2 linked regions of the Mytilus edulis genome follow. The protein of the gene in region 1 purifies or fractionates together with the protein of each later gene. This does not show direct contact. Links are inferred from orthologs where the notes say so. Each region holds a gene or a part of one and is shown on either strand. Other genes may lie near its edges.

Region 1 (7,960 bases):
AAGTGCCTTTATGGTGTCATCTATGTGAAGACTGAATGTTTTCCTATAGATGTGTAGTGTTTTATGGTGTCATCTGTGTGAAGACTGATTGATTGCCTCTAGATGTGTAGTGTTTTATGGTGTCATCAGAGTGAAAACTGAATGTTTGCCTCTAGATGTGTAATGATTTTATGGTGTCATCTGTGTGAAGACTGAATATTTGCCTCTAGATGTGTAGCATTTTTTTGGTGTCATCAGTGTGAAGACTGAATGTTTGCCTCTAGATGTGTAGTGTTTTTATGGTATTTTCTGTGTGAAGACTGAATGTGTGCCTCTAGATGTGTAGTGTTTTCATGGTGTCATCAGTGTGAAGACTTACTGTTGCCTCTAGATGTGTAGTGTTTAAATGGTGTAATCTGTGTGAAGACTGGATGCACATTTACTTGCCTCTAGATGTGTAGTGTTTTTATGGTGTCATCTCTGTGTAGAGTATATTTGCCTCCAGGTGTATAGTGATTTTATGGTGTCATTGAGTTGCTGCCTGTATATTGATGTATTTTCAATATATATTTTTTATTATAATGAAAACATGGCATCATTCTGAACATATTAACTAATGTACAATGTATAAATAAGAAACAACAAACCTGTGTATCTTATACAGAGATATATCGTCTGGCATGGGATATATTGAGAATGAACTGTTAAACATGGCATCGCTACGTAAACTTGTAATGTCATCATCAAACTCAAAATCATCTACTTTATAAGATCGAAAGTTTTTATCCTAAAAAATATAAAATCTATAAATTAGACTATAAACAAGCAACCAATGAATTTGTATGACAGTTGATGTTTTAATACACAATACTGAAGTAAATGTAAGATCTCTTTCTTCATAATAAATTGTGAGGTGTATTTAATGGACCTCTGAAATGTAAATCTGCTTGCTAATGGTGATGACATGGATGAGGAGGTTGTATAATATTTACTAAAAGATGTGGTTAATTTGTCAAAATTTCTAAAGCAAAACAGGATTCAACAAAATAAGAATATGAAATATATAGAAATTCAAAGAATCTAAATTATAAACATAAATTACCCCTCCTTTCTCTGAACACTTTGAATTGGCAGTTTGTAAAATACAAGCTTCAAATGCTAGGCTTGGGTTCTGTTCTGACTTCAAAAAACAGGAATCTATTTTAGGATATACTTTTGACAAAACATTCTGAAACAGACAAATATGAATACATTTGTGAATATCATGATTTTATAATTTAAATGTTAGTATTCACAAAAACAGTGTGAAAAGTATTGCTGATTGAACAAAAATAAAAGCATTGACAAAATAGTTAGTGTGGTATCACATTCAGAACAGATATACATTGTGCACAAAACACATCCCACTTGCATCATGTGCATTGGTCACCTTTTGTGGTGATTTATTTATCAAAATGGCATGATGTTGGACATGAAATCTGCTCTGTAGTATTTCTCAGCATGTACGTAACAATATATGTATTGGTTTATCTCATTGTTGAAGGCCGTCTGTTAGCCTTTTATTGATGTCTACAGTTTTAGACGGTGCTACTTCATTTTTACTCCGTAGAATAGTTTACTCATTGGCTATCATACAACATATCCTTTATTCTACCTAAAAACAAAGCACCATAATTTTTAACTAGAGGTAGCAGTGATCTTAGGTGGCCTAAAACCAAAAGACTATTTTCATATTGTGGACTTTCGAATTTTGAGTATAGAGGTTACAGCAAGGATTTGTATAGTAAATCTTACTGTACTATATGTACAAATCATTGGTTACAGTCAAATCCCTGAAATGTATCGATCCGTGATTCAGCTGTATAATCACATTGAATCACTGAACTGATCAGTGATTTTATAAAATTCCTGATTTTGACTTTGGTCATATCTAAGATATTGTCTTATATAAATAAAATCTATCACAACATGCACAAAGTGAACAAACTTGAAATAAGTTTCTAAACTTTCTCCACAAATTAAATTAAAAGTTAACATTTGTTTAATGTAGGTATGAAGTTCTTCAATGTGGAAATGTAAAAAAATTGTAAAAAAAAACCCTGGTATTCATCAGATATGTGTAAGATGAAGATGTCAAATATTATGCTTGAGGACATGTACATTTTACAACATACATGACATACAGGACATAGTCTTGTTACCAAATTAAACATGGCAATATGTTTTAGGGGCATGTACTAGAACCAGCCCAATGAACCCATGTGCACTGATGCTCTGCTTTTGAGTCAGACAGCTGTGCATCTCAAAAGAAAGTTTCATATCTTTTCAACAAGCATTAAGAATGTCTAAACTCTACCATTTGTAAATGTTCTGAAATATCATACAGTAGTGTAAGTTTAAATGCCTATTATTCATCATGTTCATATTAATAGTTTTGACTAGTACATTGTATTATTTCATGTACAAATGTATTTATTTAAAAATATATTTCAAAATCATTGGTTTATTTGTATTAGGAAAATGCATTTCAAATGTACTGTAATCACATGTAATAGACTGTTAGTGATTTTGTAGTGATTTTACAAAATCACTAACTATTCCAAGTATTTTACAAATTCATTGTATTTTGTACAAATATACATGAACATATGTACAATGTACTTTTTCAACAAGTTTTGTTCTCTGTGGTAGGCTATTCTGGTACACAGTCAACATGGTCAAGTATGAGCAAGTAAAATAAGTTTTAAAAAAGCTTATAGTTGACGCAACTTGGGAAAAATAAGTTTTAAAAAAGCTTAAAGTTGACGCAACTTGGGAAAAAAATAAGTGTTTATCAAATTGGAAATGGAAACGGAATGTTTCTAAGTGACAAGAAAACAGCCAAAGGCGACCAAGGGATCTTCAAAACCACAAAAAAATCTTGCAACCAGACATCAGCTGGCCACTTAACAAAAATCTGTACTAATTCAATGAAAATTGATGTCACACCAAACTACTAAACATGTTTAAATTTTCTTTGAATGTAGCAAAATCATTGAAAACAGTTAATTAATCATTGTTAAGAAATGAATAATTATAGTATAACTAATCGCCGTATTTGAATATCAAAAATAAGACAACGCGTGACCGAACGACGCATGGATTAAACGAGTGCGCAGCACGAGTTTAATCCATAGCGGCGTTCTGTCACAAGTTGTCTTATTTTTGATATTCAAATACGACGATTAGTTATTCTTTTTATTACATTGGCAAATGGTTTTTTTTAATGAAATTAATGTAGAAAATGTAAGGAACTATATCTTTTTCCTACGCATTGACAATTTGTTTTGATCCGACGTTATCGACGTCTTGACAACGCCTATTGTTGTATGACGTCAGAGAGTGAAATAACCACGTTTATTTCACATGTGAAATTATCGGTTTTTATCTAACTGGGAAATCAATGTAATTCATTGCAACCAATGTAATAATTTACATTTATTCTCCAGAGTCATAAGTTAGTTACAGTAAATGAAAATAGTTTATTGTATAAATAGATAAAAAAAACAAAAACATGTCCTAGATGAAAGCAAGTTAAGTACAAGATAACAATCATGACAATATTTGTAACTAACTTTTTTTTACTTTAGGCATTGGTCCATCTGGATAAGAAATGTTCAACAGATTGTAAAAAACAATGCTTGAATGTTGTCACGAAAAAGAAGTTCCTTTTATCTAGTTCCTTCATAATATTCTGTAACATTATTTCCTTTGGAAAATTATAGAATATTTGTTCCTACAGGTGCAGGTACATGTATAATGACAAAGTTTCCAGGGGAACTTCTGTTAGGCAGAAACAAATCTTTGTTAATAATTTACATGTATTATAAACTCTTTTTGGTTGTCCTTAATTGCTATTTTGCTCAAGTTTAATCTAAAGTTACATGTACATGTATGTTTGATTTAATGTCAAAAGAATTTTTAAAGAAGTGTCTTAACTAACGTTGACTAATTGCATGTACATTTACCTGTGAAAGAATAATACCACCATCAAGTGTACACATGTCTCCTTGGTCACCTCTATGCAATATGGCTCCCATATGTACCTCTTCACTGATACTGATGTGACCAACAAGTTCATAAAGTTTTTCTCCTCTTATATAAGTACGATCAGTGATGAACAAGTAATAATCAAATGTACTTGCATAATGTTCCTTTATGTATTTAAGTGCATGTATTGGAAGTTTCTTATTGTCCTGATCAGGAAAACTAATGACTTGCATCCCAGGGGGAGGCATTCCACTTTTACCATTTGTAAAGAAAACTGTTTTAGTGACATAATGTGCAAATGTTTTGTTCAGTGCCATTCCAAATGAATTGACTGTGTGAGGAGTGGAGAGTACTCCAACAAACAGCTTTTCTCTTATACCAAGTTCAGTAGAGGCAAATCTTGGTCGAACAAATTTTTTACCATCTTTTATTTCTTCACGCTGATATTTTTGCTCATGAATGTAGAAATCATTCCCATCTGATTCAGTCTCTTGGTCATTCACTTCACCTTTTCCTGGTTCTTGTTCCTTGTTTTTAGTATCTACCTCATGGACCATCTTTGTTTCTCGTAATTTAATTAAATTTTCTGTATCCTTTGTATCTATGGGATCACACAGATCATCAAGAAATGGTGCCACCATCATGTTCAGGGCTATACCCATGCAAATCCCTATCAAAACAGGTATACATGATCTAACAAAGCTGTTCCTCCCCAACAATGACATTTCAAGAAATTGGGAAACACTAATTTGTTCTCTTGGCAATCAGAATTGTCTGGCTTATTTAAAAATTGGATACCATAATTTTAACCCACCTCTCCTAAGTTAAAGACTTTTTAAAGTACTTCAAAGTATCTCAAATTACAAGTGTCTGTGTTAAATACGTCATTGATTTATGTGTAGATCAGTTAAACGCTTTTAGACGCCGTATTTAATTGTTGTTATGAAGAGCAAATCAACCAAGATCTATAACTACTCAGCGAAAATGGATCAGGTAAATACCGACTAACGACAAATTATCGAACAATTTTTCAAAAATATAAGGAAAGCATGTTTTCCCTCTCATAACTTTGTCTTCACCAGACATTGGTAGACTTTGACCATTGCCAGTAAGCACCCCTACCAACTGAGCTAAAAGATTTCCCATCAGGCTTTCCACTTTCAGCTTTATTTTATGTGGTATAAATTATGTTATACACAATATTCTAAACAAAAGGTTTTAATTTATGTATGAATTTGGAGTTGTTCCAAATATTTTCAGACTGTTGGAATAAGCCAGCTCTAAAAATTGCTTATTCTGATTATAACTACATTGATTGCTGGGTAAATCTTTCATGACCTCAACTCAATTATCAATGGAAGCAGGACAAATATCCCCACTGCCAAATTGCACCACAGGGGGTCTCATTGGGGGTCCCGATCCCGGATCCTGCTTACTGTTTTGTCAGATTCCCGTATCCCGCTTACACTATGTATGTAAGCAATTCTCATTTTTTTGTCATTTCCCGGGTCCCGCAAGACCTCATTTCCCGATTTCACGACACAATAATTTGACTTTCACGTGTCACGCTTACAAAAAATCAGCAATCCCGCGTCACGCTTAGACCCCAATGAGACCCACCACCACACCTAGGCTAATTGCCCCACTTTTGAAAAAAAAACCTAAACTTGTTTACCAACTCGACCAACTTATTTGTAAAATCTTCAATCTTGTAAAATCACAAATAGGGCGAGTTGGGGTCAGTTAGCCCATGGCCACAGTGAGTTAGTCCTAATAACATGTTCGCCCTGAGTTCTTTCGCCCACATAGTTTGTTCGCCCTACAAAAAAATATTAATATTCAGGGCATTAAAATTGAATAAACGTATTCAGATATTACTATCTGACTGGTATATCATGATCATTGTATATATTCTTGAAATTTATGGAAACATGGAAATATTGAAAAGTTTATGGCTTGTTTAGAATCATTAATTGTTCAATGCCAAAATAATTCGGATCACTTATTATTGTGATACTTGTCTTTTGATGGATTAATAATTAAAACAAACGTTTTGTTTTGATAAAATATTCTGCTTGAAATTAATTAAAACAATGATGTACCACTGCAGTGATATTGTTTGCCTTAAATTACTGGAGAATAAAGGCTTTTCCTCTGGAGAAAAATCCCAATTTGAAAAAAAAATGGCTTTAAATTATTCCCAAAAAGACAACTTTTTTCCCAAATAGTGCAGTCTCAGTAGTATTTGTGCATGAATGCAAACAGAATACAGACTCCTTTATACATTTTCCATGCCTAAAATGATTATATGTGTAGATTTGAGGGTCCATTTATGTATCATCACTGACAATAAGGGGTCCTATTTCAAAGCAGGGTTTGACTCTTGAAAGGGGGTCTGCAAATTGAAGTTTCAGTCAAATTCATGGTTTATTCTAAATTTCCAAATTTGATAAAAATGACTCATATTTTCCCAATAGTTTTTGAAAAATGCTAACAATATCACTGGACTGTAAATCATGAAACAGATTTACTAGTTCATTTATTGTCGAGCCTTCACTTTAGTCGAAAAAGCGAGACATAGCAATGCTACATTCCGCCGGCGGCGGCAGTGGCGTCCTCAAATATTCACTCTGTGGTTAAAGTTTTTGAAATTTTAATAACTTTCTTATAGTATCCTGGATTTCTACCAAACTTGGACAGAAGCTTGTTTATGTCAGATTGTAAGATACATGTAGTATGCAGAAGTAAATTTTGTAAAAAAATTAATATTTCCATTTTTTCCATATTTTACTTTTAAATGGATTTAGATTTTCTGCCAGAAAACAACACCATGAACACATTCACTCTGGTTAAAGTTTTTAAAATTTTAATAACTTTTTTATACTATTTTGGATTTGTACTAAACTTGGACAGAAGCTTGTTTATGGTCAAAAGCTAGTATCTAGAAGAAAATAAAAAAAAATAATAAATTCATTTTTTCTGTATTTTACTGTTACATGACTTAGATTTTCTGCCAGGAAATTTCCAGTTATCATTTCATTCAGTCTGCAGTTAAAGTTTTTAAACATTTATGAGATTCATAAACTATCCTGGGATTTTACCAAACTTGGACAGAAGCTTTATTTTTACAACCAAAAGATAGTATCAAGAGGAATATTTTTATTGACTTTTTTCCTCATTTTTGTTGAGCCTGTGATTACAGCAAAAGTAGGCGAGACAATGGAACCCTTACAAATTTTTGGGATACGATTGCTTTCAAGCAATCTGTAGAGTTTTACCATTGACTCAGGTCCATGCCCTCACGTCAACCGTTTTATTCTAAACATAAAGGAACATCTCAAATTCTTAAGATTGTCTTGCTTTAAAAGATAAAAACAATCAAAAGGATTTAATTTAGACAACTTTCTTTGAATGTTCTTCTCATAATCTTCATGTTTCCATATATATTTCCCTTGATTTATACATGTATGCGTTTTTTAATACAACACAGAACATCATAATTAAGCAGTATTTATATTTAGTGTTTTTATAAATTTAGAAACGCTTTGGAGGGAATTCCCCAGTTTTGATAAAATGCAGAGTTCTCTGAATTCCGATAAATCTATTTTTATCATATAAAAACTAAATTGGAATTTTTCTTATATGTCACCGTTCTGAAACTGATATTTGATATTGTACATGTACTTCCATAAAGAAATGGAGAACCACCTAGGTCGTTTAATTAACATTTAATATATGTCCTTGCTATAAATTACAAGTATCATTGAGTATAGGGTTTGTTTAGGTAATTATGCGCATGTGTATAGTTTTCTTGACTTCAAGGGGTATCAGATTGAATGGTTTCTCTGGATTCCCAACTCCATTGATTAATTTGAAACTCTTGAGATCCTTTCTATGTCTGTCTGCTATTGAGGGTTATTGTTGTTGCATAATTTTAAATCATATGTATCAA
Region 2 (7,803 bases), on another chromosome or scaffold:
CGCAGGTTTCATGACAATTTGGTGACTGTTTTATATCTATAAGAATAAGCTCCATTTAGTTCTTTGCAAGTTTCTGATCTAACATTGAGGAGAAATGGAACTTTATTCGTTGGAAAAGTGACCGGCGTATCATGCGCTCATGCCGCAGCTCTTCATTCTTCTGGGTTTGATTCTGTCTGTTGTAAGTTTTTTTGGTTCCTTTTGAATCTTCTCCTATTTTGTAGTACTAATAATTCCGTTACTAGCATTTTCCTCGTAAATAAATCGCTGGTACTGGTAAAACAGTATAATGATGACCGTGGATTAAAAAATTTAGTATTTTTACTGATACGACGTAACAGCTTGTCAAATACCTAGTTAATCAAAATCAATAGAAACAAAATGTTAGTCTACGGCATGAAAAAGACTATCCAAACAAATGACTCTACATTAAAATAAAGTTCAAACTGTTTAAATATTTTTTTTATTTATTTAAATCAAGTATTTTTATAGTAAGACTATACAAATCCTTGTTTAAATACTGTATGATCGGTGGACTATCAATTCTAGGTACTTATTCTGATAGGTTGTTTTTAGTCTTTCAAAAGGTTTCGAACATAAACGGATTCATTATTGACACGATATGTCAGTATAATGATCGCATTTGAAATAGTCAAAGAGATTTTCCTAATTGATTGTGTCAAACAATTGTGGCAAATTCTCCAAAATCACTTGTTAAAATGATCGGTTGTATCTTTTATTTACAGCTAGAACTGTTTGTAATGACAGTTACTCATCAATAAATACAATAACCCCATCCAACAACCCTGTTAAAGACAAGACAAGTTAATAAAACAAAAGAGAATTTAGATTGATTGACTGTTTGTATAATATCCAGTGGCAACTAGTTCATGGTTGATCAAAACTATGTATGAACCCAATATGATAGTCTGGTAAAGTGGATCGTCCAGCATGCACGGAAAGTACCAACATATCGGTAATTTCCATGGGGATAACAGGTTCTTGTAAGAGATAATTATTTCATTGCAAAGAGTTATCTTCGGACCTTTTAAATATAATAAGGGTAATTTGCAGCTAGTCCGCTTGTCCCACACTGTTTAAACATACCAACAGATGTAAATTAAATGTTCACATTCCGACCAAACTTACCAGTGTACCTATACATCAAACAGGGTCAAGCAGTCATCGCTACATCAGCACCGGTATCATTATCGAACAGCGAAGTCCAATATATCTATTTAATTAACCCTTAATATCAATGAGGGGACTAGGAAAAAACAAAAGCATTGATGTTCCATTGATTGACACACAATGCAAATTATAAGATCAGTATACAAACACCTGATGACGAGATTTAACATATAGTTAAAGATTATAATCTGGTTCAGATATGACTTAAATAGAATTGAGAATGGATACGGGGAATGTGTCAAAGAGACGCAGAAAATAGCAGAATGCCACCATATGGGTTTTTAACGCAGAGAATAATCCCATATGTACCCGATGGTAGCCTTCAGCTGGCCATCTAAAGGTCCTGACTTCATCCACATCAAAATCAGCTTCTTTACTTGGATAACATTGTTCTCCATAGAATGAGGAGATATGTTTTAAAGATATGGCACGCCGTTATTATATTTATTCAATTTCGAGATATCTTATTTATTTATATAAGATATCTTATAAACTTTTAGAGATATCTTATTAACTTATAGAGATATCTTTTTAACTTATAGAGATATCTTATTTAATTGGTTATACAGATATCTTATTTAATTGGTTATAAAGATATCTTATTTAATATATAAGATATCTCCATGAGTTAATAATATATCTCTATTAGTTTATAAGATATCTCTATTAATTAATAAGATATCTTATTAATTAATAGAGATATCTTATTAACTTATAGAGATATCTTATAAACTAATGGAGATATCTTATAAACTAATAGAGATATCTTATTTACTTTCAAATTAAATAAGATATCTTATAAAAATTAAAGATATCTTAATACTTAATAAGATATCTTGTTAAATAAATAAGATATCTTCAAATTTGAATAAATATAAAAACGGCGTGCCATATAAAGATGTGTCAATCCGATAAACAGTTGACGATATGACAGTCATGAACATATGTATAAAGATGTGTCAATCCAATAAACAGTTGACGATATGACAGTCATGAACATATGTATAAAGATGTGTCAATCCAATAAACAGTTGACGATATGACAGTCATGAACATATGTATAAAGAAAAGCCGTAATTTATAAAGAAAGGTTTAACTTAATTTCTAAATAAATAAAATTACATATTGCATGTGTTTACAACACATATAGGCTAAGTTTTTGCAAACCGATAGGGAAAATACCTTTATCAAAGATCAATATATAAACAAACAAATACACATTGTTTGCAGTTTAAACCAACATCTATTCATGAGAAATAAAGCTGTTTTGTTTGATCGTTTTTTCAATGATTACATTATTCATATGTGTATACATAATGTTATTTACTGTTATTGAAATTTCGAATACAATATTTAAATCATCAATTACATACAATGTTGGTATAGTTCGTTGAAGGGTTAAAAGGTGTGGCACATGTCTGATAATAGGTTCTATCGAAGTATGACAATAAAATTACACTTCATGACATATTTTATTTACATGTAAACAAGAGAGTCCCAAAAGACTTTATGATTCGCTAAATTTATGTACCTACCCTTACAAGTTCACCATTATCACAATATTTGGCACCACGACCGAGTAGTTTACGTTCTTAAAACACTGATATGATTGAAAGAAAGTTTGGTTATTTACACAGGGAAACTAGAGGTCGCCATACGATTTTCATCTATACAATGTCCACATCTTTTATAGCCTCTAAGGCCAGGTCCGCTAATCTAGAAAGTTGAGAATAAATTTAACCGAGATTATCTAAGTTCTAATAAGTTTAAACATCAAATTATGGAGACGTATTATTAAGGTTGGTCTATCGTACAACATGAAAGATTAACCAGGTTCGGTTCTTATATATGAGGAGTCACTGTGGCTTAAAACAGTGTTTATGTAGAACTTAAACCCACTCAAATCTTAAATTCGATCGGTGGAGTTAAAATAAAAGAAAACAAAGAAAAATACAATTGTAACATGCAATTCAGAAATACTACTTGTTTTTCGTTTGTTTTTTTGGGGAAACTAAAAAAACGTAAATAAAAAATCAAGGAGTTATCCATCCCAACCTAAATTATCAATAATACGTCCACCCTTCCACCCCGTAAAAAAAGAAAATTTGATAAATAAGGAATAACTCATTAGAAAAATTAACAGACTACATTTATTTAAAAAGATTGGAATTAACTGAATAACAATAACATAGAGAAACAAAGACATTGATTTAAAATCAGACACGAAAAGCCTATTATAATTGGACATATCTAAAGAACATCGTATGGTATGACAAGTATTTAGACAATACAAAAACATACCAGAAAAAGTTTAAGAATTATATGAGGAATATAAAAAATGACAGCTCATGAGTTGCACAGTTGAGATCTGTTAAAATTCGACACAAAACAAAAAATCAAAACTTGATATTTAACAAGCAACTTCACTCTGCTTTTATATCGGAATAATTATGAAAAGGAACATTTACCAGCTCGTGTTTCAGACAACTACCCATTTATGTCAGAAATACAAGTAGAAGACAAGTATAATGGCTAAAAAAACTTCTCAAAATTCGGACAAATCAATACATGCAAACCCAAGCAAGTAAATTCATGCAGACCTGTCTCAGCCTCTAAATTGGATATGCTGCAAACTAATAGAACATATTGTGGAACAGGCACTTTTTTCATTTCAACTAAAGATCACTTGAAGAACCAACGAAAATAGGGGTGGGTGGGGGAGGGGGGGGGTATGACCTTTATCGGGACTCCGGGATCGGGTGTTTTTAAGCTCGTGATTTGGGGATTGACCCTTTCGGGATCCGGGAATTTCTTTATTCGAATTTCGGGACATCGGGATTTCGTTTTTTTAAGCCCGGGATTTTTGGATTTCGTGTTTTTAAGCACGGGATTTCGACCCCTCCTATCCGGACCCCTCAAAATAGCTACTACGTCAGTTTACACATTTTTTAAATGTTTGAATGTCATTTGTCATTTTAACTGAGTATAGGCTACATGAACCAGAATATTTATAACCCCCCCCCCCCCCCCATTTATTTTTGCATGGTTTTGTTTAACAGAATGAATTTGTTGGCTTATGCTGCAACATAGTATTTTTCTTTACAAAAAAGCATTAAACGTCCAAATCCACCCATCCCACCATCATAAATAAGATAATGATACTATTACACTAAGAAATCTAGACTACCCTGAGGCACTTGTTTATATCCATGGAAGGTCGACTATCCATATATAAGTTTAGTCGAATATATGGATAGTAGGCCTTCCCATGGATAGAAACACTTGTCTGTGTCTGTGATCTATAGATCGCAGTTTTTCAAGTTCTGAAAACAATGTTAATGCTTATGTTTTAATTTCATTTTTGCACAAATCTAATTTGTTGATTTCACTTTTTAAATTATATGTGTAATCAAATGTAATTTCAAAGTTATTCATCCACATAATAAAATAGGTTTACACATAGCCTATAAACGGTGATAAGCCTGCTTTTGTTGTGTTCCTTTTAACGGAGGAATATACGAACGATGTATTCATTTAATCATCAAGATAATGTTGGCGTCGATCCCCGTTCTTTTAGAGCTCCTGTTACAACCAAAGACCAAACAGCTATGGTGTCCAGAAGTGGAAGAATAATCTTACAAGCTGATTGGAATCATGTTTTAAAGTCAATATTCATTTTCATTCTTTGTTATGTATATACTTTTGTTTACCAATCGTTTTATTTATGTCACCACACAATGCATGTTTATAACAGAGACATATATATGTCTGTTCATAATCATACATGTAGACTGTAGTCCCAAGAACAAACATTTTAAGATCTAAGTCCACAGGCACTTGTTTTCTATCCATGGCAAGATCTACTATCCCCATTTGCCAAGTAAGTCAAATGATGGATGGGAACTGTGCCGGCGGGGATACGTCTCCCTGGTACCGCCACAGAAGCCGGATTGGTTCAGGCCAGATGAATGAAAAGCAAATGGTAACCCCCTTTTTTTATACATTGCTTTATTAGGCCAAATAAAAAAGTATGTGTGGTTCCAGTTACATCTGAAAAAAAGTTAGGGTAGGTAGGTGTAGGTAGGGATTTTTTTTTATTTTATGTTTTTTTTTTTACATTGAGTCTATGGGAGCAACATTCTGACTTTAACAGTGCTTAATGAAAAATGACAATAAAATCTTTAGGGTAGGCTATTTTTCAGCCAAAAAAGTAGGGACGGTAGGGTTACTGGAACCACACATATATTTTTATTTGGCCTTATTACTTTTTTTTTTTTTTCTGTCATACTTTATACTCGCTTGTATATTCTTTAGTTATCTTACAAAATTACTCTTTTTCTTGCACCAACCAGAAGCGTTGAGTATTGGTCAAGTTTGACAGATCAACGTAGAATGTAGATGTAGGTATTAGTAATTATATATAGGGATAGCAGATCTTGACATGGATAGAAAACAAGTGCCTGTGTCTGAGTCTTAGAACTCTACTTGTCTCTATAGAAACTAGTAGATTTCTAGTCCAAATATTTATAACATATTGTTAGACTTTTGTTTTTCTGCTTTAAAGTAATAGAAAAAAACCTTAGCAGACTTCATGTTAATCTGGACAAATATGTGGCCCTGTAATGCATTGAATCTGGATCTTTTCACCCAAAATCATGTTTGCTCCAATTCATAATTATAAAAGCCTTTAAAGGTTTCATCCTACGCATTTACATCATTTTATACTGCAACTACGTAGTTGTGTTTATTTCCTAAATATAGTAAGACAGTCATATATTTTGTGCAATGTCAATTTCACCATGGAATACTTTTTCCACATTAAGGGGTTCATTAAGGATGAAAATAAGTTTGATATTTATGTAACAATTTAAAAAGCTATCAATTTATAAATTTAAGTTGCAGTATAAAAACCATATTAGGTCAATGTCATTAAAAATATAAACATTTGTGTATTCAGCACAAAACTGGGGATGGGCTCGATAGAACCTCACACTTCCCCAGTTTCTCTGCCTCATACAAAAAAGTTTATATTTTTAGCTCACCTGGCCCAAAGGGCCAAGTGAGCTTTTCTCATCACTTGGCATCCGTTGTCATCATCGTCAATCGTCGTTAGCTTTTACAAAAATCTTCTCCTCTGAAACTACTGGGCCAAATTGAACCAAACTTGGCCACAATCATCATTGGGGTATCTAGTTTGAAAAATGTGTGGCGTGACCCGGAAATAAAATAGAAAATAGGGGTAAAATGCAGTTTTTGGCTTATAACTCAAAAACCAAAGCAATTAGAGGAAATCTGACTGGGGTAAAAATGTTTATCAGGTCAAGATCTATCTGCCCTGAAATTTTCAGATGACGAGAGATAAACTGTAAACAGCAACAATGTTCAGCAAAGTTAGATTTACAAATAAGTCAACATGACCAAAATGGTCAGTTGACCCCTTTAGGAGTTATTGCCCTTTATAGTCAATTTTTAACCATTTTTCATAAATCTAAGTAATCTTTTACAAAAATCTTCTCCTCTGAAACTACTGGGCCAAATAAATCCAAACTTGGCCACAATCATCTTTGGGCTATCTAGTTTAAAATATGTGTGGTGTGACCCGGTCAACCAACCAAGATGGCCGCCACGGCTAAAAATAGAACATAGGGGTAAAATGCAGTTTTTGGCTTATAACTCAAAAACCAAAATATTTAGAGGAAATAAGACATGGGGGGGGGGGAGTAAAATGTTTATCAGGTCAAGATCTATCTGCCCTGAAATTTTCAGATGAATCAGTCTACCCGTTGTTGGGTTGCTGCCCCTGAATTGGTAGTTTTGAGGAAATTTTACTGTTTTTGTTTATTATCTTGAATATTATTATAGATAGAGATAAACTGTAAACAGCATTAATGTTCATCAAAGTAAGATTTACAAATAAGCAAATGACCGAAATGGTCAGTTGACCCCTTTAGGAGTTATTGCCCTTTATAGTCATTTTAACCATTTTTCGTAAATCTTAGTTATCTTTTACAAAAATCTTCTCCTCTGAAACTACTGGACCAAATTAATTCAAACTTGACCACAATCATCTTTGGGGTATCTTGTTGGAAAAATGTGTCCGATGACCTGGCCATCCAACCAAGATGGCCACCACGGCTAAAAATAGAACATAGGGGTAAAATGTAGATTTTGGCTTATAACTCTGAAACCAAATCATTTAGAGCAAATCTGACAAGGAGTTAAATTGTTAATCGAGTCAATATATATCTGCCCTGAAATATTCAAATGAATTGGACAACCGGTTGTTGGGTTGCTGCCCTCCAATTCGTAATTTTTAAAGAAATTTTGCCGTTTTTGGTTATTATCTTGAATACTATTATAGATAGCGATAAACTGTGAACAGCGATAATGTTCAGCAAAGTAAGATCTACAAAATGGTCAATTGAACCCTTAAGGAGTTATTGCCCTTTATAGTCAATTTTTAACAATTTTCATTAATTTGGTAAATTTATGTAAATTTTTACCAAATATTTTTCTCTGTTACTAATGGGCAAAGTTCATTATAGATATAATTGTAAGAAGCAAGAACGTTCAGTAAAGTAAGAACTTCAAACACATCACCATCACCAAAAT

The links. The genes of interacting proteins can lie anywhere in the genome.
Region 2: the proteins of 26S proteasome regulatory subunit 8 (region 1) and proteasomal ATPase-associated factor 1-like purify together in Homo sapiens (affinity purification with mass spectrometry; 7 studies listed by BioGRID and IntAct, counting the BioPlex papers as one, with this or other methods). This does not show direct contact. The link is inferred for Mytilus edulis from reciprocal best matches to the Homo sapiens genes PSMC5 and PAAF1.

Annotation. Positions count from the first base shown.
Region 1 is NC_092345.1:101,529,593-101,537,552, reverse strand, and holds the start of 26S proteasome regulatory subunit 8, read left to right. Parts: upstream 1-4,911; 5' UTR 4,912-4,950; coding exon 4,951-5,001; intron 5,002-7,960. Other genes in the region: chondroitin sulfate glucuronyltransferase-like, read right to left, coding at 627-766, 1,082-1,207, 3,987-4,733.
Region 2 is NC_092353.1:17,727,077-17,734,879, forward strand, and holds the start of proteasomal ATPase-associated factor 1-like, read left to right. Parts: upstream 1-4,739; 5' UTR 4,740-4,799; coding exon 4,800-4,855; intron 4,856-7,803. UniProt on the Homo sapiens protein: Inhibits proteasome 26S assembly and proteolytic activity by impairing the association of the 19S regulatory complex with the 20S core.